Drosophila melanogaster: one gene and its partners. Changing the gene in region 3 together with the main gene of any one other region gives a genetic interaction. Each region holds a gene or a part of one and is shown on either strand. Other genes may lie near its edges. The genes, in order: Mlp84B, Akap200, dgo and Vang.

Region 1 (7,243 bases), on a different chromosome or scaffold from region 3:
TTCTCTATCTTAGCCATTATCATGTTCGATCCGTTATACAAATAGTCGCGGACTTCAGCAAGGCATAAATCTATTCGCGCCATTCAAAGCCAGAAATTGAACATTAATAACATACTAGAAAAGCCATATCGAATACGAGTAGAATACATCTCCAAGTATATTTAGAGATCAACATCAGCGGCGCAGTCCGCAAAAAATATTCTCACTGTTGTGGCTCGTCAATTCGGGTGTTTTTGAAGTGCCGTGTGTCATATGCGAAACAATTTCAAAACCAAAATCACTCGAAAATAGACGCTGACTCGGTAAGTCTATAAATATTCTCGCCAATGCGATACCAAAACTAACGTAAACACACCTGGCTGAAGGCGATTTATTTGATATTTGTGTCTGAAACAAAAAAAAATTATATTAAAACAAAAAATAATTTATTTAGTTTGGCCAACCCCTTGGCAACGTATTTTCGTGGTCAACGTCACGGAGCATAAAACCATACCATACCTATAGGATGTCGAATAAAATGAATAGAAATGTGAATAATGCGCGCAAGTGGGCGTGGGACGGAATCATTAAAATTTTGTTCCCAAGGGGTTATTTCGGGTGGGGGGTGATCCTAAAAGTGCATTAGCAATAAGAACTTTGCTCTAGGTGGGTGGGTGAGTAAAGCATTTATTACACAACATTCTCAGCAGGCACGTGTTATAATTATTATAATATAACTAGGGATTCCTCACAAGTATATATGCGAATAAATACAATCTCTTAAGTTCTTCTCTTGAGTGAGAGTTTTGAGTGCTGTGAAAAGCTTTCGGGTCAGCTGTGTGAGGCATATTGGCATCATATTTATATTTAGAAAACCATTTCAGTACGGTTATGGAACATTTCGATGTTTTTCTCGAGAGGCCACACACACACACAACCAAGGATTTATTCCTGTACGTATATGTAGGGAACGTTCTTTGTGCGTATGTTGAGCAATTATTTTTCACGATGTTTGTCGGCCGAACAAGCTATATATAGACCAGATGAGCTGGCTCAATCCGAACCGAACGATCCCGAAACAAACGGAATTGAACTCAACCCAACCACCCACCGGTCATTCCAATCAGATTGCCAACCAACCATTTAGATGCAGAAATCTCAGGTATGCACACCCAATTAAATCAATTAAAACTACGAAAACCATTTCGAAATCATTTTGTTTTCATGGAACCCACTGGGGCATATATTATTGGATGTTATGTGTGTGTGTGTGTGTATGCAGAACATGTACGCTGATGTATATATATATAAATAAATATTTTATATCTGCCATGGCTGGCATCCCAAACAGAATGCAAGAGATTAGATGGGTGAGAAATCATTCAAACATCATTATAAATAATCAGATTTCATAAGTATATCGTAAGAACTAAATCAGCTAAATATACAACATCATATCTTTCATCATTGTTCGTCGTAAGAGTATATTTATGTGTATAAAATTTTTCCATTTGCACAAAGTATGCTTTTGGGTAATTCGATTTGGAGCATAAGACATACTTGGCTGGTCTTCGAAAATAAATAGTTTAAGATACAAAAAAGTAATAACGACTTTGGCTCGCAGCAGTTTCACCTGCAGAAAGTTTTGCTTTTCTCGATGTGGTCAATGTCGTTTAGTTCGTTAGTCTGTGTTCGATGGTTAGTTTCGCTTTGAGTCGTAAGTTTTATGTTTTTGGCATTTATTCTTTTTTTCTTGTTTTCATATTAAACTTAATCTCACATAACCTAAAGAAAATTGAATTGCATTCAGTGCATCGTTGATCAAAAATCGTTGGAAGCAAAACGAAGACTAAGTTAGCTAATTTCAGGGATAGTTAGTTAAAACAGATTGGTCATTAGACAGATGCATCGGAACGGTTCACAGACATGGATGTGGGTTTCGATTGGATATACATAAAATAGGCTCGTTTAGAACGTTGTCAAAGCGCCCGCGCCCAGACCGTAGCCCACTCCCTTGGGTCCAAAATTGCGGCCGTAGCAGGCTCGGCAGTAGATATCGCCGTCGGGTCCATCGTTCAGGTTGGTCGAGTCCAGCGATTTGCGGCAATCCGAGCAGTAGAAGCACCTCTTGTGCCAGATCCTGGTCTTGCTGATCATCTGCTCGGCGGCGAACACGGCGAAACCGCAACGCGGGCAGCCGCCCGAAGTCTTGGGTCCGGCCAGAGGACGGCCATCTGGGAACTGGATGGTGCTCTCGCCACTGGTTGACACTAGAGTGGGGGCGTGGCCGTAACCAAAGCCCTTGGGGCCGAAGAGCTTGCCGTAGCAGGCGCGGCAGTGGATGTCGCCATCGGGTCCATCGCAGGCCAGGACCGAGTCCAATGGCCGGTGGCAGTCGGCGCAGTTGTAGCACTTCTTGTGCCACACCTTGCCCTTGGACAGCTGTTGCTCGGCGGCGAATACGGCTCCTCCGCACCGGGGACAGCCTTCGCCGTCACGGGCCTTAATTGACGTGGTGTCCGGGTTATAGAAGGGCCTGTTGGCGCTGATCTGATCCTCGGTCAAGCCATCGGTCTGCAGGAAACCAGAGCCGCATGCGAATCCATAGCCATGTGGTCCCCACTTCTTGCCGTAGCAGGTGCGGCAGTACACATCACGATCGGGACCATCACTGGCATTGATCGAGTCCAGAGTCTTGTGGCAATCCTTGCAGTTGAAGCACTTCTTGTGCCACTCCCGACCCTTGGAAAGCTTCTGCTCCGCTGCGTAGACCACACCGCCGCAACGTGGGCAACCCTCACCCGGACGGGCCTGGATCTTGTCCACATCAATGGCGGCACGGATTTGCGGTGCTCCGTCGTCGTGAGCATAGCAGTCGGACTGGAGAGCACCACCGCCCTGGCCATAACCATAGCCCTTGGGTCCAAACTTCTTGGCATAGCAGCCCTTGCAGTAGATGTTCTTGTCCGGAGCCTCGCAGCACAGGATCGAGTCCAGACCCTTCTTGCAGGTACCGCACTTGAAGCACTCCTTGTGCCAGCTGCGACCGCGGGCTAACATCTGTTCGGCGGCGTACACATAGCCACCGCAACGAGGACAGCCCTCACCTTCGGGGGCACGAGCAATAGCCCTGGGTTCCAGGCGGGCTCCATTCCTTACGGACGGCACATCGCCGTTCTCGCGCAGGAACTGTGACCCGTTGTCCATGGAGAGGGTGCCAGCTCCAGTGCCGAAGCCGTAACCTTTCGGCCCGAACTTGCGACCGTGGCACGTCTTGCAGTAGAGCTCGCGCTCGTGCTCTGTGCAGTTGGTGGAGTCCAGGGATTTGTTGCACATTCCGCACTTGAAGCAGTTCTTGTGGAATACATAGCCGCCAGCCAGACGCTCTTCGGCAGCGTAGACACTCTTGCCGCAGCGCGGACACTTGGGGGCCTCGATCGGTTGGAAGGAAGGCATTCTGTCTGTGTTTCGGTTTTTTTAACGCTATCAAAATGATCTACGCGAGTACAATTACTTTACTTATTAAGTTTATTATCTGAAATAGCAAAATAGAAGAACACATAGAGTCGATGGGATCGTGGCGTAAGTCCTGCTGGGAAATGCAGCAGAGTGGAAGCTTTGGTGGCGATGAAAGCGATGAGGTAAGCATCTGTCATTTTTGTATGTTAAATGGTTTCCAAATTATTCTAAGCCCAACTAGTTAATTCAAGCTAATCTACATGTTAACCTATTTGGACGATTAAGACGCTTGTTTTATCTTAAGTTTACAATGAACTATTACAAATTCAACTTGACAGTCGCGAATTTCTCCTCAATTTGCATTATGTAGATCATCTATCAAGATTCTTATCTGTCAGTCGAGACGTCATCGCCCGTGCCAGAAAATTACCCAACCGGACGTATGTATACGTAATTCATATTGAAGATTCCTATGTTAATGATCAGAAAATAACATCTTTCTCATGACAACAAAAAATAAAGGAGGAATTTTTCAAATCACAGAACACAGAGAAAAACATGAGCAATAAATGTGTATCTATCTATACAGAAAATGTTGTATAAAAATAACGCAGACAGGTAGATAGATTTGGGAAAAGCACACACAAAAAATAACTGTGGCAGATATATATATGTACATATCTGGGTGTTCTAAAACTGAGTCAGAGCTAAAGCACCACCATCAGATGAGCATCGTCCCTGGCCGGTAATCTGGTTATCTAGCGGTTGCGATGGATTAGTCAGGTGCTTTGCAATGGTCTTTTGCTGCGTGCAAAAAAATCGGTTAAGAGCTGGCGATATCCAACCGTTGGGTGTGAGTGTATTATAGCCAAGATAGAACGGAACCTACAACGCACTAAAACCACACACGGAAGCGCCGAGTACTGAACTGGAAGATTGCTCAAAGCAAACTAGTCTATATAATTGTGAGTGCACACGGCACGGCAACGCGGTCGACTTTTCGCCGCTGCCACTGAGTTTTCCTGCTCAGCACACCGAGTTGAGAAACTTAAGATGCGGCAACACGGAGCAGTTTTCCTTCGTTTTATTTCAGTTTTCATCAAATAACGCCAGAGAGTGGGATGGAAACATATTGGTATGCATCTGCGGTTTTTAAACTTTTTCGATTCTTCGAAAAAGTTTTTTATTCCATATCCTTCACTCGTTTTTTCTTGACCGTATCTCATTCTTGGATGTTTGCTAACTTTTGTGTATATTATATGCACATTTATCCCAGTGGGAGATTATCAAAGATGATCGAAAAGTTGCATATCATTGGAAACCTCAGGCATCTGGGAGTTTGTTTATATTCCCGACTAAATATAATACTTTTTGCATGCAATAAGATTATAAAACTCATCAAAATGTACGTGTTTTTTACGTCGAGTAAGGACTGTATCTTTAATTTTTCTCTATTCAAGGATAGTGACTATTCGATTTGATCTGATGAAAAGATGATCGATTTGTACTTGAATAAAACTCGATTGAAAAAAAAACTCCTCGCAAATAGTTCTCATTTTATTGAGTGAGACAGTTTCCGTAAAGTTTTTTCACACTCGAAAAAACGGAATCTATTAATAATAGTGTGTGGGAAAAATGCTTCCTGTGTGGAGCCATACATTCCTCCTCTCATTTGTGGGTCAAATTATGGTCCAAATTACGCACAAGTTCTAAATTTAAACGATCGCTTGACAAAACTGTATTTTCATCGCTTCGCGTTTGGTTTGTAGCAGAGCTTGAACCGATATTTTTTAGACAAGCACAACACAAAATATTGGAATTTACTGGGTTATGCGTGATTGGTTTTGGTTTTGGTTTTCGTTTTCCATTGACAAAAACTGATATTTACTTTTCGTTCGTAATAAAAAGGTTCGCAAGAGAAATATCCTTAATTTTAGTTTAGCTTCGATTAACAACGATTTTCGACTGATCGCGCTGAAAAATTTGTCAAGCGCTTTCAGTCTTTGTCTGCACACGGCACGAAGGCAACTTTGTCGCCAGAGAAAATGATAGGGATGACTATATAGCCCCAACAATAAATACATTAGCCATCCGAACAAGAATCCCAACAAATCACAAAATATCTGCTCTCACATATACAATATGCTAGTATACAAGAAAAATGTGCTTTCATAAATTGTATATACGGTCATTTTATAGCAGAATATTCCAGGTGATCGTGCTCATGACAAGGCGAAAAAGATGATGTTGGTATTTTATTGGACCAACAACATGGTTCAACTGTCTTGTTCAAAGCCACTGCCTGCCTGCCTTTCGGAACATTGGCACTTCAACATCAATAAATTAACATGCGCATTTGCATTTAATTAAAATTCGATATTTTGCCATGCATTTTTGGTTCAAAAGGAAATTAATGGGGCATGGGTACATCATTGAGCATCAATCAGATCGGCAAAATAGAACCAGACATGGCGGGGGCCAACTCGGCCAGAAAATACCTCTTAATATCATTACTAAGAATGATTTCATTTTGATATTAGTTCTAATGGTATGATTTTACCGATTATTTTAGTTTTGAAATCAAAGTAGTAGTAGTAAGTTTCTCAAATTTATAACAAACTAATTTAATATTTGATTTATTACAGTATTTCGATCGAAACACACACCATTTTAAAAAATGGATCGATCGAAAATTCCGAAGTTCAAGGGGTAGCATTGAAAAACACGGAATTTCTTAAAGACAAGAACGGGTGGGCAACACCTTTTGTATAATTAACGCGCACCTTCGGCAGAATTTCTCAAAACATTTTTAACATGCATTTGCAATTGCATTTCCACTTATAAGTATGATACAAAAATTGGCAAGGCGCCTGCGTTCAAAACTTTTGGCGAGTGAAACGAATATAGTAGTACTCTCTGTCCCACTCTTTAGGTTTGATCAGAGAAAAACTAAATGACAAGTTGTATACAAGTGTAAAAGATAATGGGAACCATCATTAATATAGCAACATTGTATCCAAAAAGAGAGAAAACACTTTAAGAGAATGTTTCGCAAAAATCACTCAAGAGATCCGAAACAAGTTTCCTTAAAAGTAAAAAAGCTTATATTAACTCAATATTTCGGAACGATAACTGAGTTGTTTATCATTCTATTAATAGTATGCTAAAAGATAAACAAAGAAAAAATCAACTTACCCTCTTGGAGCTCTTCTCGATTTCCTTCTCAAAATCTGTTAGAGGCGTCAGTGCAACTTGAACATCTTTGATATCATAGCGGGATATTAAGCTACAGAAACAACCGAAAAATATATTAGTGTGATTTTTTCTATACATTGTTTCAGTAGAAAAAGGTCTTATACGGGGTTATTTTAGTATTAGTATATTCTCTAATAAACGAAACGGATTCCAAAAGTTGCCTTTTTCAATGAAATTACAAAAACATATTTAAAAAGTCTGGTTTCTCAGTAACATTGGGCACTGTTTAATATACATTATGTTCTAATTATTACAATTTATTTAGAATAACAAAATAAAAGAGTTGTCTACACCGGGTGTTCGATAAATTAACAATTTTGCAAATCATAGATGTGCAACACAGTCCCATTTGTTTCTTTAAAATCAGGCGTAAACTAAGTAACTACCAAATTTTGAAAAATGTAAATTGTAAAAGACCTTTTCTTTGCGTTTCTCGTTCCCCACCTATTGTTATCCTCCAGAGCGGAGCCAGAGGTGGAAATACTGCTAGTGGACTTAGCAGAATCCGCTTTTCGTTTTTTCGATGACGAGTTAGAGGAGCTGCCTGAGG
Region 2 (4,832 bases), on a different chromosome or scaffold from region 3:
TGCCTCCCAAAACAACAACACCTACAACACAAAAAAAAAAAAAATTTTAATGTGCACCCCCAGCAATTATGATAGTATGCCTGAAACCATACCGAATTCCTGCGGAATTAGTGGCCTCAAGTGGTCGAACCGAGGGCTATATCACTCGAGTTGTTCGAGAAGAGAACGTGAAATGAAAATCAGCTCAATCTGCAAACGTTTTCCACTCACACAGCCCCAGCAGCAGCACATCACAGCGGCAGCCTTCGAACATCTTTCACACAGATGTTTGCATATTAAATGAGAAATTCGCTCGCTTTCGTAGATATACGAATGTATGGCAGCGGTGACAAAGGACCTCTCAACACTTTGGCTTACACACACACCCATATACATACATATATACGCAGCTACCCATGCTCCCCAATTGAGCTTCGGACTTTGAGCTTCATATGTTTAGCGCACAAATGTGCCCTGGCAGACCGGTGTCTCCGTTCTGCGAATCATTAGATCGTATGGGTTACTTCCAAAATGACCATGCTTACTTACACTCATTTCCAGGAAGTAGCTGCACGAGCATTGATATATAATTACTATGTTGATAAACAAAAGGCATGTTCCTGGAATCTTTCCAGTTGTCAATAACATTACATGCGTTAGTAAATAGTCGAAAATATGTTTTTCGTACATGCTTTGCCACCTTTACTGCACTAAGAAATTCTATAACCGTACGTGAACCATCTATAACTTCTTAGAATATCAAGTTTTACTGTATTGTAATTCCGGAAAAGATTTCTGTTTATTTCCAAATAGTTCGCAGTTAAATTTAAACCCTAATCGACAGCTTTAAGGCCAATTGTGCGATCGAGCATTGCTGGTTAACCGCGAATCGCACTTGACGAAACGGCATGTTTGCCCCCAGTCCCTCCACACCGTATCGCAATGCAATGTTTACTCGAGTTTGAGCAAACGTTGACAAATTCGCCAATAAAGGCGACACCAAAAAGCATTATATGTATATGCTCGTCCTCAGTGAACGACTGGCAAATATGTACACGAAATTCGAGCCGACTTCAAGGGAAAACCCGCCACAAATTCTATGGGGCGCCCTCCCCTCCTCCTTAACAATAAACCAATTTCAAAGATACATTCGGTTGGCGACCGCTACCTGAAATCGCAGCGAAATAATTCAATTTGCTCAAATTTCGGGAGTGGGGAAAATTCAGAATGCAAACTCCATTCCTAATCAAATTTTCAACAGGCAAATTGATAAGATTTTCGGAAATATTTACAGTTTTGGTGCCTAAATTGGGTCACTGACAAATAAATTTGGTCAGGTTAGAACACAAAGAAGAGCATTCATTTTCAAAGAAAAGATTTCAGTAGAGCAATCATGAAATTTCACTTGTCAAATACGTTTTACGTATTAAGTACAGTACAAATATTTAACAATAAAAGTAATTATATACTTAAGAAATATGATTGTGACAAGAACTTGAATTTAAGATCCTTGACAGAGGCTACTAAAATTTAAGGCATTAGCATTCAGCGTTGCAAGTAGATCATAAAATTCTCTTAGCAGTAGTATAAATTGCAGTTGACAATCGAAAATCTTGTGATTGCGCTTCTGCTTCTTCCTCCTCGGCCTCTGCCCACCCACTCCATTCGTAAAGGACTCACACATGCAGCGAGGCACGCACACAGGCACACTACCCCAGGCACGCAAGCACATACACCACACACACAAAGACATGTAGGCGACGCCAGTTAGGGCGGTGGCTGTCTGCCCGTCTGCGATTGAGCGATTGAACGACTGAGTGACGGACGGACGGACGAACTGACAAACCGACGCTGCAGAAAGTGCGACGCAGTTTTTCGCAACAAAAGTGTAGGAAAAACAAAAAGACGATCCTCCTCGTATCGATAATCTGAGTAAACCGAGACGCAAAAGGGATCGAAACGTATACAAAGATCAAATGGCCACAGTGGGCACTCGCTATGTGCGTGCACCTTGCACAAGGATGTTTGGCTGAGAAGGTAGAAACATGTTGGCAAGTGTAATCAGGCGTACAATGCAAACAAAGAGGAGACAACGACAATGAACCAGAAGTCAAGGCGAAGCGATGGCACAAAGGACCAGAGCGATGAGCGGGCGAGGCGAAGGAAGGCGAGGCACAAAAAGGAGAGAGCGCTAGATTGAGCCGAAGAGACAAAGAGAGAGAGAGAGAGCGAGACGGATACGGATACAAAGCCACACCGGCATGGTGTTTGCCTCTGCCGCCGTCACTGCCTGCGCTGCTGCTGCGGACGCCGACGTGGTGGCAACGCCGACGCATTGAAGGCGGCACACCCAAAAATTTTGTAAAAAGGCAACTACTCCAAGGTGGCGAAATTCGAATGCTGTATTTTGCGGGGGCGGGGTTAATGACAAAGAAAGTTCTCCTTAAATGCATAAAACTCCATTTAAATATCTCTTTTAGTCTTCGCTTCTCCCATTCTTCACCGTTCACGCACACTAAGCCGCCTTCCATGGCGTCCTTTTTCCTGCCTGTGTGTGTGAGCGTCGGCGGGCGTCTCTTTTACAAACACTTGTGCCTCAAATACAGTTACCATTTTTGAAACCAGTTAGAAACTTTTCGTCAATAACTCTTTGTCTCCTTTTCAATCACAATTCCTTTAAACAAACACGAAATTCAAAGCGGGTATAGAGAATTTCAAAAGTAGCACCACTCACGCACACACACACACGCAAGCCGTCTGCCTGCTTGGCTTTGGTTTCTTTTTCATTTATTTTTTTAAATTAACTCCTTTATGTTCTGATCTTATGACTTAAAGTGGAATTTACCTGGCTCGATTCTCTCGGTTTCGGTTTAAAAACACACGCACTTGCTTCTTTCTTTGCTTTGCGATTCTACACTGGCAGCAGCTCTTTTTGCCTGCTTTCCGTTTCGGTTTCTTTTCTCGTTCTTGTTGCGCGCTCCACAAATAAAAAATGTCCGCTCGGGTCTGGTATTTACGTCGCGTTAGGATGTTTTCGCAGTTAGAACGCGTTAGGGCTTCGGGTCTAGTTATAGTGCTGTCCACAAAGTTGATGTTCCGCCAAATGGTTAACCATACAATTAAGATGACTAAAATGCCTTAACTTAAAATTTTTTTATAAATTATATTTGTTTACATCTGAATCCTATTTATTACTTGTTAATTGCAGTAAACATTTGCAGAAACGTAAAAATTACGACGTAAGAAATCTTCAAGATTATTCTATTAAACGAGAGAAAACTTCTATTAAGCTGACATTTGCAATATTTTTCTATAAATTTTGAAATATTAATATTTCCTTGGCTTAAACTTGGCTAAACTAGTTTTTCATTCTTTAAGTGTAATTACTTGTAATTTGTCTTTGATTTTCCGTTTACTTTTTTAAAAAGCGTTTCTTGTAAGTCTTTTTGCGAAAATCAAGTTAGCATGCCCGTTGCTCACAATTGCGTTCTGTCGGGCGAGGGGAAAAGTCGCAGAAGAAATTTTATACCACAAGAACGGAATTTCCGTGGCCAAATAACAACAATCAGCCAGCAGTCCCGTCGATCAGGAGTTAACCAAAGCAGGAGGAGTCAACCAGGATAACAGCAACACAATTCGACTGCACCCCAGAGCCTCCAGTTCCACTGGGTAGCTGATTTCAGCTGGTGGAGGCGGTGGGTGGTGCTCTTATCGGCCTGCGATTTCTTCCATGCCCGCTGCGATAACAGCCAGGCGGACTTGCCTGTCCAGGTGTGCATTTCAATAGGCACTGTACATGACTGGAGTGGATAATCCTTCAATGCATAATACTCCGTCTTTCAGTGCAACACCATGGGCTGCATCACCAGCAGCAGCAAGTTAAATGAGCTGCGCGGTCATGAGAATGTGTTTCGAGTGCGAGTGGCTCACCTGCAACCCACCCCGGGTACGCCCATCATCCGGAGTGGCTACCTGGAGCTAACGCCCCGGGAACTAATATTCCAGTCGCCTGGCTGTGAGCCCATTGTCTGGGCACTGCAACACCTCCGACGTTATGGGTTGAATAACGATCTCTTCTCCTTCGAAGCAGGACGTAGGTGTATGTCTGGGCCAGGGATCTACACGTTTCGAGTCCACAATGCCGAGCAGCTGTATCCGATGTTTCAGCGCTACATCAACGCGGTGAATACAGATGCCTTTGTGCAGGGCGAACGAGAAAGGGTTAACTCCGCTCATTCGGTGTCCGTAAATATGGGCCGTACTGAGGGCAATAACTATCTAGAGCCGGCTCCCCTAATGAGCCGCCAGTTGGGCAACTTCCACAGTGAGCCCTCGAGCACAAGTGCATCGTATCCGCTGCAGGCCAACGATTCGCAAGTCGATGACTCTCCGCCCAATTTGCAATCACCAGTCCTGATACCCAGTGCCTATTTGGATCAGCCATTGCGGGCTTTGCAGGACTGTTGTCTGGAAGGCACCGCCTCGGATTTGCTTTCCACCCCGCCCTCCGGCAATAGGTTGACATCACGTAGGCGCACGATGGACTTGCCACCTCTGGAATCGGCCCCAGCACCAGCTCCAGTTCTGAGTCCCAACGATGCTGTGCACATGTACGCCAATGTGGAAGCTCTGATCTTTGATCTGAACAATGAGCGCTGCTATGAGAACGTAAATCGCTTGGAGCTCCCTCTGCTGCCGAGGGAACCAATTTCCAATCAAGAGCCGGCCACGCCCACCAGCTTAGCGGGCAGCTGCGGAGTAAACTATATAGTGCTGGATCTTGATCAGCCGCGAAGTCCCGTGGGACCGGCGGGTTCATCAAAGGCGATCAATGGATTTGGCAGCGGCTTATC
Region 3 (6,272 bases):
CTGTTTTACACGACCGTCACGCAAACGTGAAAAAGGGAAAAAACCTTTACTTGAAAACTTCCGTAAGTACTTCTCTTAGATGTAGTTCAAAACTAATTAATGAAAATGTCAAATTACTTATGAAGCGAGTTGGCAGCTCCGTGTCCAAGAGCAAACACTTATTTTTAAACATATCGATATAATGCAGCAGTTTAGTGCGCGGGAGAAGTATTTGGTGTCCAACACCTTAAATTGTTGGCCCGTGATGCTGCAGGGTCATTCCGTACTGATCGATCTGCACAACGAGACCTCTGTGGCCGGAATCATCGATGTAGCGGATGGACACATGACCTGCGAGCTCACCCATGCAGTTTTCATCGATCGCAATGGTGGTCAGCACCCCTTTGATCACTTTATGGTGCGGAATCGAATGATACGGCAGATCCACATACCTTCGTACTTGGATGCCGAGCAGGAACTTCGAAGCGCAATGGAACGGGGAGTCCTGCGAAGAAAGCGAGTGGAAACCAAGGGCGGAAAGCGGACATTCAAGCAAAAACGAGCGGAAGTGCGACACAAGGAAACATTGCAAATGATCTCACAGCAAAAAAAGAATAAGGAAACCTAAACTATTAATATATGCGTACTTGTTATATTTACCAAAAATACATTACATACATACAACTACATTTATAGTAATAAACCTATGAAAAGCAAAACAAATTAGCCCAATCAATTATACACAAAACATAGTCTCTAGCACGTTTATTTATTCCAAGAAATTCAAACGTATACAAACTGAATATCTTATATTCCCTTAATCAAAACTCTACTTAGCGGCCTGCTGCTTCAACTGCTCCTGGTACATGTAGTGCAGCTCCATGCAGTCGGTGTTGGAGATGTTTACCCAGCCGTCCTCCTTAATGTGATACACGCGAATGATACCACCGGAGTAGGCATCCCTGAAGGTGGCATGGTAGATGGCGCGACGTCCCAGCTCCTGGGCCTCCTTGTCCTCCAGGTCCCAATGATAGCCAGAGTCCAGGACACCGTAGGCGTACAGCGATCCACTACCAACAGAGAACAAATTGCCAGGCGTGCGAGATCCCTCGGAGTCCACATAGTAGAGGCCTGGACCACGCTTATCGTAACCGGCCAGCATCATGCCCATGCTCAGACCCATTCCCTTGTATTCGTGGGCAATGTTGGCCATTATCTTGCTGGCGGCGGCCACCGAGATGCGTTCCTTGTTTCGAAGCTCGTGAAGGCGGCATTCCTTCGAAAGGACCCTGTCCCAGTAAACGCAATCGGCTGCGCCACCGGCCAAGGTGCCCAGCATGAACTGATTGATCTCCACGATCTTCTTCATCGACTGGGAGCCAATGTACGATCCACCCGTGGCACGGGAATCGACTGCCAGGAGAACGCCGCCCTTGAACTTGAAGCCCAACGTTGTGGTGCCGTGATCGAAGTTGATTTTGACGCCGGTCTTGTCGCCATTGGCCTGGATCTGATTAAGGTTGTGCAGGGGCTGAGGAAATTGTCAAATTTTTTAGTAAATTTCCCAAGAAGATCAGCTAATTAACTACATACGTTCTCGAATGGCGGAGCAGCCAGTGTGTAGGGATTGGCCAGATTGCACATAAGCCCTTTTTGCTCTTCCTCCACATCCGCCGATGACCAGGCATTGGGCCGCATGTACGGAGCATTCGATATCTTGCAGATTTCAGCTAAAGCCATTCTTAAAGCTCCTTAAAAAACAATTGGAAACGTTGAATGCGAAATGCCGATGACAAACAAAATTCGTTGCCTACTTGTAGAGTGACCGTACTTCTGTTGGAGCAATAATGCAGACTATCGGCTTCACCGTTAGCTGTCGCAGGTACGGCAACCCAGCTCGAAACCTGTTGCCAATTTTGCCTGTGATTGGCTTTCTTTTAGTCTCTTTTTAGGCCTGGCTTGAAGCCAAATTAACTCTGGGCGTTCCATCAATCCATCAATGGCCAAATACTGCAAAGTCGGGTACTGAACAATAGTCGAAAGTAAACATGTGTAAATACGTGAGAGTGGCGAATTGCAATGCGTAAATTGCGGTCCAAAGACGGGATTTAAAATTAGTGAAAAGTAAGTCGGGAATCGAGAAAACCTAGGCGCACTTTAAACCTGGTTTTCAGGTCTAGAAATTTACTGTAATAGTGTTGAACATTTAAGAAACCATACATGTTTTATCAATGTGTTATAATGAAAGACATTTAATCTACCCTCAAAAAGGTTGTATTTCAAATTACGAGTCCTTTATTTGATCGCTTTTGGTAACTCCCACTTCTATTTGTAATGACAATTACTACGTGGTACGCCATTACGTGAGGCACACATACATGCGCATACACGGCTAGAAAATGTGCGATCGAAGATCAGATTCATTTGATCCCAGGTCAAGTTAAGCTCTTTCGTCGTCAACAAGGTTATATCAAAGAATACCATCTTTCATATGATTTTCGACATATAAACGATTCTAACGGTAATTACGGTACTTTAAGTAAGATTTTTCATTTATTAAAGACAAAATGTAGTTCTAATATAAATAATTTTTTTAATTTTATCTGGTTTTGATAAAGTGTTACTTAAAAAGTTATAATTGCAACACATCATGATAAATGAATGAAATTATAATTTAACAAATTTGATAAATAATGAATATTTTCGCAGACAATGCAGCATGGATCCTCCCGCATTCCGAAACAGGAAGCTCTCCCGAATGCGATATCCGGGGTAAGTAAGGGCACTTGCCTGAACCAACAAATCTTACACCGATGTAACTTCTTTTTCTGATTTAAGCCCGACTCCAGCAATTGGACTTCGCTGCACGAGGCGGTAGCCGCCGGAGATGATCGCCGGGTGGAGGGTCTCCTGTTCAGCAATGCTGATCGACTGGCCAGGGAATCCGTGCAGGGGAATACCCCGCTCCATGAGGCCGCCAGTCGGGGGTTCAGTCGCTGCGTGAAATTGATCTGCACGCCCCCCACGCCACCCGCTTCCTCGGGGGTGGGAAAAGCAGCAAAGGGACAGAAGGACAAAGACAAGGATAAGAACAAGGGCAGAGTGAAGGTGGCCCACCAGACCATCGAAGCCCTACACAATAGCGCCCTGGGTATTGCCAACAACGAAGGGTTGTCCGCCCTGCACTTGGCCGCTCAAAATGGTCACAATCAGAGCTCTAGGGAGCTACTGCTGGCCGGCGCCGATCCCGATGTCCGGAATAATGTAAGTGTTGGATCATATCAGTGATAACCATGTTTAACATGTTTAACAATTTCAGTATGGAGATACTCCGCTGCACACCGCCTGCAGATATGGACATGCAGGAGTCTCCCGGATCCTGCTCTCCGCCCTTTGCGATCCGAATAAAACAAATCTGAACGGCGACACCGCTTTGCACATCACCTGTGCCATGGGTCGCAGGAAGCTGACAAGGATTCTCCTAGAGGCAGATGCTCGGCTGGGCATTAAAAACGCACAAGGCGACTGCCCCATGCACATAGCGATCAGGAAGAACTACCGTGAAATCATCGAGATCCTGAACACGCCGAAGAAGATACGGAATCGCAAGGAGAAACCCAAGGAGGGCGGCAGCAGATCGGACAAGGACAGAGATCGTGAAAGGGATGTGGTGGACAAGGGTATCAACTGGTCACCCTATGGCTGTCACTACTTTCCCGATCCGCGTGCCTTTCCTTCACCAAAACTGGAGACACTGCCCAAGGAGCCACTTAAGTCGGGGGAGCAATACTTCCTGGATTTGGCTGGTCATATTCACAAGGGTCCGGTCAGCGTGGGCAACACATGCTATTGCGGTCCCTTCTTCCGTCACATTGAAAACAAACTAAATTGCAATCGAAAGAGTTTGAAGAAATACGTTCACAAAACCAAGGAACGTCTAGGTCACAAAGTTCAGGCATTGGCAATCAAGACGAACGATCAGATTGAACAGCTCACAAGAACGATGATCGAGGACAGATTGCGATGCGAGAGCAAGAGGCAGCACCTCAGTGAGTTCCTGCGACGAGGTGAACCTATGCGGTCCACCTTCGATCAGCAGAACAAGAGCTCAAGGATCGAAAGAACAATGTCCAGGTGCCGCAGTCTAGAGCTCTTGGAAAACAACCACGAAGGTGGTAGGCTCACCAACTCACGGAGTGTAGATGTCCTGGAAGATCAGGCAGTGGAGGCTATAGTACACCGATCAGCGGAGGTCCAGGTGGATAGCGACAGCGATGACGATTCCAATGAAGCTCGGGATGAAGAAGAGGCAGAAGTGGGTGACAAGGACCAGGTGCAAGAAGAGGCGGAACCAGAGGAGCACTCGAAGCTAGATGAACTTAAGCTAGATTTCCTAAAAGTCTCCGAAAGACTGGGAGTGCTTTTAGAGAAAACCACCCTGATCATGGAAAGGGACAGCGAACAGGAGAGCAAGCGCCAGCTTTCTTCCTTATCGCCACCTTATAATCCCCATCCAAGGGCGGAGTCTGCCCAACTTCGAGAAGATAAAGAGAGTGTTAATAGTCCCAATTTCGACGAGTACGCCAACGTGATACGACGCTATCCGAACTCCAGTGAGACCTCAAATCCCTCCCAGAACTCCAACAGCTGGGACTGGGAGGCATCACCCACGGGCAGCAATCCCCACCCGGATTACAATAAGTACTACCAGCGCATTGGGAGAGGAGAGAACATGCTGAACTCGGTGATCAAGGCGCTTCGAAAAGATGCCTCCTTCGCGGATCTGGGCAAAGAGGAGACGGCTGTCAATGAAACTGCCGAGGGAATGGGAGGCGACAAGCTGCTCTACAAGGAGCAAGCGAGCGAGGCGGCAGGTATCTCCAATCTGATGAAACGGCAGCCTCTTTGCTTGGAAGACAACTATCCCGTCATGTCGAATTTATTTTACTCCAATCCCATCATGGAGTACGCCGAGGAAACAGAAGTGCGTCAAAATGGCAATGAAAGTATGAGTAAGGTGGAGATTCGGAACAGTGAAATCAAGTGCCTAAAGAAGCCGAACGCTGGTCAGGTGAGGGATATGGTGGCCCAACTGCAAAACACCATTGACTCCAATCGACAGGACTCCCAGACGGCACATGTGATCGCCGCAAGATCACACTCCCGCTTGAACAATAACTTCCATCACTTGGAGGGCACCTCTTCGAACCCTTCGCCCACGTATAGTATTCCCCACCGGAGTAGCGCCCAGTTTGGGCTGCCCGAGAGACACATACCCAAAGATGCTTACTTCCATGAACTGCCCCACCGTCCACCGATTCCGCAAACTCCGCAGAGAAGGCTGCACTCCGGCTACGTACCAAATGCGAGTCTCTATCGCAGTGAAGATCTTTACGTGGGAAGGATTCCACATCCAAATGCTCCACCAAGACAAGTGGACTACGTGGATGCGGTAGCCTATAGGCCTCTGCAGTCCCCCACCTTTCAGGCCATTGTGCCGCCCCATGTTAATCAAAGGCCAAGGAACTGGCCTCATCCCAATCTTCCATCCAATGAAATCGATCTGGACGAGCTGTCTGCCGTTGGCCTCTACAACAATGTCTCGAGTCTAGTTTGAGTTCGGTAATCCCACAGCTGTTCCCATTGTACATAGCTAATCCCTACATATTTATCTTAATTGTAATCAAGTTTTAAACTACAAAGAAAAGTTAACTTATTTTCAACTGATGCATCTAATCTGGAGGGTCTAAAATATATAAATATAATACAAAGATATATGTACAATAATTTTGTTGTTTTTTGTTGAGGAGTTTTGGGTCTGAGTGTTTTCATATTCTGCGTAATTTATGAGAATATCGTGTACTTAATTATTTGGTTATTCCACTTTTGACCCCAAAAATACCCAAAATATTAAAAACGTTCCAACCTGCTCGCTTGTAAATCAAACGCAACCGAATGTTTTCGATCAAAATATATTTTTCTTTAAAAATGTTTAATAATAGTATTTATGCATGTGTAAATATCAGAATGTCAAGTACATATATTTATTGATAACAGATCATTTTGGTGTTTTGATAGACATGCGGCTTATGAACTCTGTATAATTGTGTAAACGAAATCAACCAGGAAATCATCTCAATAATCGAGCTCCGATGTTTGGTGGGAATTCAAAAAAACCAAATCCCCACCGCTGACAAAAGTAAACAAGTAAATTGGGCAACATTTTGATATCGTTCACCAATATGTCTGCGGTATTGTTAGTACAATTTTAGCAAGTGCCTAATGATGATTTC
Region 4 (5,662 bases), 1.7 Mb from region 3:
TGAAAGTTCTATACCAACAGCACTGACGACGCACAAGCCAAAAAACAACAGCAGCGCAAGCTGTTGCCTATTATTGTTTAAAGGATATCTGATATGTTAGTATTCCACTCACATTTGGCTAGTATTTATGAAATAATGTAAATAAAAGCGAACGCACCATCCACCACCAGGCACCAAATCATGGGTTTCCTCAGTTTGATATTTAAGTAGCTTATGAAATGAGACCATCGTGCTCACTCCACTTGAATTAATTGAGCTTATTACTCTTATCATAGAAATTCGAGAGGCATTCGAGTCTTTGTATCACAAAGAACTTGAAACTTGATTGATTGCGATTAAATCTACTCATACATTATACTTCAGTGCGATTTGGTAAACCTGCTGGGCTCAATAATCAATATAGGAACTGTTTGTTAATCCCGAGCTGATAAGGCAACTTTCAGACATTCAAAAGACCCCCAAGAATGAATTAATTACGTGCGCATTTCCACGATTTGCGTCACCTTCGAGATAGAACAATTCGTTTAAAGCTGTTAAAGAAGTGGGTTTGATTTATTTACGCATTTTGTTTTTTATGCTAGTTACAATTACAACAGTTACAGTTTGAGAGTAAATGTATGTATAAATGGTATGTATGCTTAGGTTGGTTTTCCAATTGCTTTAAGTAATTGCTAGATAATTGCAATATAAAAGAGCTTCGACAGAAGACATTTAGCTAGAAAACGAAAATGAAATCAAACCTCAAGCAAACGTTTCTAAGTAGTTTTGTAAATAGGTATATATCATATATGTATGTATATATAGATTGGGTTCACTGGAACGTACACATGTTCGAATACGAATTCGGGTCCTTATCACTATAATTTTGTCTCTAAAAATACACGAGTTTTTGTATATATGTGGTTGCTATGCACAGGCTAGTACATACACCTGCTAGTGGCTGTTGGCAATTTGTGTGTATAAAATGCATATTCAGGCAGTCTTCGCTTATATTATGTATTTGTCATCAGTTGCATTCGAGTTATAGTTGTTTCGTCGTTTCTCAACTTTGTGGCAGAAGAGTTAGGACCATTCGGTTTCGGCTTAAAATGTGCGTATGTAAAATCTTATTAAGTCGCGTCAAAAGTGGCCAATGCACTTTCGACGCAAGTCCGAGTCCTAGCTAAAATTCCATGGGCTTGCCTTGGCTCACTCCATTCCTTCTTAAGGCTAGCGATCGGGCTCACGCCTCACAGATATCGGGTAAAATTTTAGATATTCCGCGAAGAGTAAGCCCAACTTTACACTAAACATATTTACTAAAATAAAAATCGTGTATAAAAGAGCTGCATTTAAGAGTTGATATCTGAAGATCGCGGTTCGGCAAGCCAAACCATCATTCTTATAATTAATACTTTGGGAACTTGTAAGTCATGTTTGCTTATCAAAGGGTGTGATATGTTCGCGTCGGTTTAGGATGATACACTGGGCTTTTGAGCATTGTTTCTTGATATTCGGGTCATAAGTTCAAGTTTAGCACTGATAAGTACGTTGCCTTCTCATCTAATAATCATTTGTTACAAGATCAAAATTTAGCTGCTGAGGCCTGCCTAGACATTTTGTTCTCACAACAACTTTTCCTTTCTAAACTTCCATGTTTTTTTCTTTTTTTTTTTAAATTCAGGGTTTTGATCGATTTAAAAATGCTCCTCTTGTTCATTGATAAGTAATTTTGATTGCTTGGTTTGATTGGTTGTGGTGTTTCAGGCATATATAAAAATGAATTCAATTACCCTGATGGCAGTTCTCACAAGAACGTCATCGATTTGGCTGAAGTAAAGAAAATATGTGAATATGTGAATTAGTAGCTGGGAAAATCAGACAAACACATGCAAGTAGGACGATTGCGTCTGGTTGCTATGAGTGGGAGTGTTGATTGGAGGGGCGTTGTGGTGGTGTCATACGGATGTTTCGGAGTTCAACTTAAGAACAAATTTGTTGCTTTTGGGATCCACAACCTCCTCGGCCAGGTTGAAGTGCGGCAGCTTGTGTACGGTTACCATTAGGGAGACATCGTTCTGAATTAACTGGAACGTGCATTCGTTGCCAATTGGCCGAGAGACGATCTCGTCGCAGATCAGGGACCAAGACTGCACCCAGCGTCGCTCCTTCTCGCTCTGCATCACCGGAGACTCGGTCAAGTAGGGTTCCAAGAAGGCGCGGGGCGACAGATCATGCTTTAGGCAGTGCGCCAGATGTTTCAGTATGCTCTCAAAGGTATGCCGCGGCTGCTGACGCGTAACCCGTAAGTATTTTTGCAGCGCCCTGGCCATCGAGGGAAAAACCGCCGAGGCAGCCTCCTGCGGATCGAGCGGCAGTGCCGGAGCCGGTTCGTTATGAATGCGTTTGATGTGGGTGAAGGCCTCCTCGGCGGCGGTTATAAGACGGGCACGCCGTTTCTTCACACGACGTTCGTACTCGTGCTCTTCGTAAAAGCGCTCGTTATGCGAGGAGTCTCGGCGCCGCGCGTTGGCTGCTAGAACTGCTCGACTCTGGCTTTGCTGTTGCGAATTGCTCACCCCATCCACTTCGTAGTACTTGAAACTGTTTGATATCTTGTTTCGCTGCGATTTGGAGACCGATATTGGGATGCGCTCCAGGTAAGGGTTAAATATGGGGAAATCCACGTAGTAGTGCTGTAGCACCCACACAGCCGCCCGTTGGATGCTCAGCTGACCCAACATGTAGGAGCGCGAAACGCCGTCCGGGGAGCGAATGATCTTGATGTAGTAGCAAGGCTGCTGGTGTCGCAGCTCTAGTAACACCACGGCCACATAGTGAATAAATAGAAGAGTGTCCACAAAATTGGTGGCATAGCCTACCAGTGACTTGTAGTCCACGGCATCGCCGCCCGTCTCCACAACGATTTTGGCCCCGTTTGTGACCTGCACGATGTAGAAGAGCCAGTAAGCAAACGTGCAGATGGTGACGAGAAGGAGGACGAGAGCGCGATATAGGAATATCCGTGGCATGGTGGCCGATGTACGTCGCATGAACACTGCCCACAGGCCGATGGCCAGAAGCAGCAGCCGGGCGGCCAGCGATACCAGTTGGCCCTTGCACTGCTCACTGCAGGCCAGCAGCTGGGTGCGAACAGTTTGCGTTATTTCCGGATGATCGAAGGCCGACGGAAAGAAGCCCACATACGGCATCACCACCATTGCCACTGGCGAAAAAAACGCTCCGCATCCCAGCAGGAAGTAGAAGCTCGACTCCACGTATCGGCGGCACGCAAAGCTGAAGCCCTTGTCGCTCTCACGATGCCACATGTTGTTTATGTCCTCCATTGAGATGCTTTGCTCCGAGGTATTCCCCGTGACGGCGGTAGTATTCTCGCCCCAGTTCTCGTCCTGCGGAAGGATTTGCACCTCGATGACTTCCTGGCCATCGTGGCTGCCGTCTCCTGGTGCCCAAATAATAAATGGGTCAATTGGTTTCCTTCCACCGATAGAGCCATTAAACAAACTCACCTGTCATATTAACGCTGGTCTGGTACGGTGCCATGTCGCCACGTTGAAATCCCTTGGCCGACTTCGAGGAGTGTGTGCTGCGGTGGGAATGTCTGGAGCGGTCCCGCTCCCTGTGATAGCCGTTGTTGACACTGCCTCCTCCGCCACCACCTCCGCCGCCACCCCCTCCGCCGTTGTTGTTGTGATTCCGCGAGCGTCTGGAGCGTCCACTGTGTTCCGACTTGACGGATTCGTTTTCCATTGCAATTGGGCTAGCGCGCGAGAGCTATGCCCGATTCCGAATCTCCTGCTCGCGAAGAGACGTGCCCCAAATCACCTTGCAACCTGGCCGTGCAGCTATTTTAGTGTCTAACTGTAATTGCGGCGGCAGCAGGTTTTTCATACGCAGGTATGCAGGGCGCAGTGCATAGCCTATAGGCGATTTAGAGCTTTATCTGCGGCTAATTCTGCGGCACATTGTCACTATTCGTGTCTTGCATGGCTATTTCATACGCTATTTAACTATTTCTCGCACATTTTTCGCTTTTTATTCACTTTTTCGTGGACTTGGCTTCACCCCCGACGCAGTGTGACCACCGCAACACAATCAGCAGCACGGTCACATTGCATTTAGTGTTTTCAAACACTATCAGTTTGGCAATTCAACCGCCAAACTGATAGTTTAAATTTTAAAGTAAGTTTATTTTGTTGGACAATATCATGAATTTGCAATAATAGCGGAAAGTAATTGTCTGGCTCTCTGGTCAGTTGGGCTTAGCAGTATGGCGCGCTGCAACAACTTCATAGAACAGGTTTTGTCTACTGCACTAACCGCCTGACTGGCATATATAGTGGTCAGTGCCTCTTCGCTGGCCAAGATGCTAAATATAAACAAATTCAGTCTATCATAATACAATGTATATAAATTCCCAAGTCTTACCTATTTTGTTGCTTAGTGTGTCCCAGAGTAAGAGTTATTCGACCCATATTTGAAGTAGCCAGTCGATAGGATTGGTCATCAGAGAAATAATCAAGAAGAAACTTTAGCACGACACTTCGCAGACTTCGGGAATTGGGAAACATTCGTATGCGAGTCTGTAGATAGCACAACGCTCTTCGGGCACCCTCCTAAACAAAATCATAGTATTACTTTTGTAGAACCACAACATTCACCACTTTTAACGAACATTTATCAGGATGTAGTGAGCCGTTAAATAGGATATGTCGGCACAATACTCCTTCTTAAAGGCGTACGCATTCAGCTCCGTCAGTATCGTATGGATCAACGCATTATCTCTATGAAGTATACCTAGGGCAAGGGCTGAAAACAACGCCTGAATGGGGACCTCCTTCAACAAGACACTTTTGGTGATTATAACGTTAGAAATGTTGAATCAACAAAACAAATATTGCGCTACCAACCACTGATAGAGTAGGGTTTTGGTGTCCGCTTCGCCCTGAAAGTCGTAAATCATGGATGCCATAGCCACGAGGATGGTAGCTGCTTTGTCATCGCCATGATCAACCACGTTGCCGAGAACGGAGTTGTAAATAGAGTAGGATTCCTGCAACTGACCGGCTAGATAATATGCCTGGGCCAGGCCAATGATCGGCTTAAATGTGGCATGTGCAACCGTGTTTAGGGCGTGTGCCGCCTGCTCCGGCTGGTCTATTTTTAAGTACAGGTATCCCAGATTCGTGTAGAGCTTGTCACGATCCGCTCCAGGTTCGCACAACTTACACGCCCGAGTGAAGGCTTCGATTGCTTGGCGATACAGGTTTTTCCGGGCGTAGAGAAATCCCTGGAACGACAGCGATGCTGGTGTCGCATCCGTCTCCTCGTTTTGCACATACCTTAAATGTATTGCAAGTCTTTAGTTGGTTTTAGATAGGGCATTACTATAATACTTACCAATTGATGGCATCCAGCGCAAGCACATCAGCGTACATGTGTTCGATGGCATGCTTTATGCGCGGCTTGTCGAAAGATCCAGGAGTCGACAGCATTTCGCACACCCAATGCGCAAATCCAAGCGCCGCCTCCGGATGGTAATCGAACTGCTGGCAGTGACGAAACAGATCAAAGGCTTCCTCGCGATCGCCAATCAACTCCGCAACCATTGCTTGTCCAATCCAAGCGTTGGCGTACACGGGACTTGATTGCTGGGCTCTCG

The links.
Region 1: of dgo (region 3) and Mlp84B, changing one enhances a phenotype caused by changing the other (phenotypic enhancement), as found in Drosophila melanogaster (one study listed by BioGRID).
Region 2: of dgo (region 3) and Akap200, changing one suppresses a phenotype caused by changing the other (phenotypic suppression), as found in Drosophila melanogaster (one study listed by BioGRID).
Region 4: of dgo (region 3) and Vang, changing one enhances a phenotype caused by changing the other (phenotypic enhancement), as found in Drosophila melanogaster (2 studies listed by BioGRID).

What each region holds. Positions count from the first base shown.
Region 1 is NT_033777.3:7,112,325-7,119,567, forward strand, and holds Mlp84B (muscle LIM protein at 84B), read right to left. Parts: upstream 5,409-7,243; 5' UTR 5,327-5,408; intron 4,393-5,326; exon of another isoform or gene 4,328-4,392; intron 3,515-4,327; 5' UTR 3,436-3,514; coding exon 1,948-3,435; 3' UTR 526-1,947; downstream 1-525. Other genes in the region: Alh (alhambra), read right to left, coding at 6,634-6,724, 7,138-7,243. UniProt on the Drosophila melanogaster protein: Plays a role in cell differentiation late in myogenesis. Transcription factor Mef2 is essential for expression.
Region 2 is NT_033779.5:8,413,879-8,418,710, reverse strand, and holds the start of Akap200 (A kinase anchor protein 200), read right to left. Parts: upstream 3,022-4,832; 5' UTR 2,825-3,021; intron 1-2,824. Other genes in the region: CG13398 (uncharacterized protein), read left to right, coding at 3,832-4,832. UniProt on the Drosophila melanogaster protein: Scaffolding protein involved in the regulation of PKA signaling and anchoring to the actin cytoskeleton integrating signals propagated by cAMP, diacylglycerol and calcium.
Region 3 is NT_033778.4:10,815,520-10,821,791, reverse strand, and holds dgo (diego), read left to right. Parts: upstream 1-1,907; 5' UTR 1,908-2,500; intron 2,501-2,688; 5' UTR 2,689-2,691; coding exon 2,692-2,751; intron 2,752-2,817; coding exon 2,818-3,243; intron 3,244-3,298; coding exon 3,299-5,596; 3' UTR 5,597-5,755; downstream 5,756-6,272. Other genes in the region: Lsm10, read left to right, coding at 182-607; Prosbeta5 (proteasome beta5 subunit), read right to left, coding at 809-1,510, 1,573-1,719.
Region 4 is NT_033778.4:9,101,664-9,107,325, reverse strand, and holds Vang (Van gogh), read right to left. Parts: upstream 4,089-5,662; 5' UTR 3,751-4,088; coding exon 3,510-3,750; intron 3,443-3,509; coding exon 1,938-3,442; coding exon of another isoform or gene 1,857-1,937; 3' UTR 530-1,856; downstream 1-529. Other genes in the region: CG8777 (uncharacterized protein), read right to left, coding at 4,207-4,369, 4,429-4,616, 4,676-4,850, 4,911-5,342, 5,401-5,662.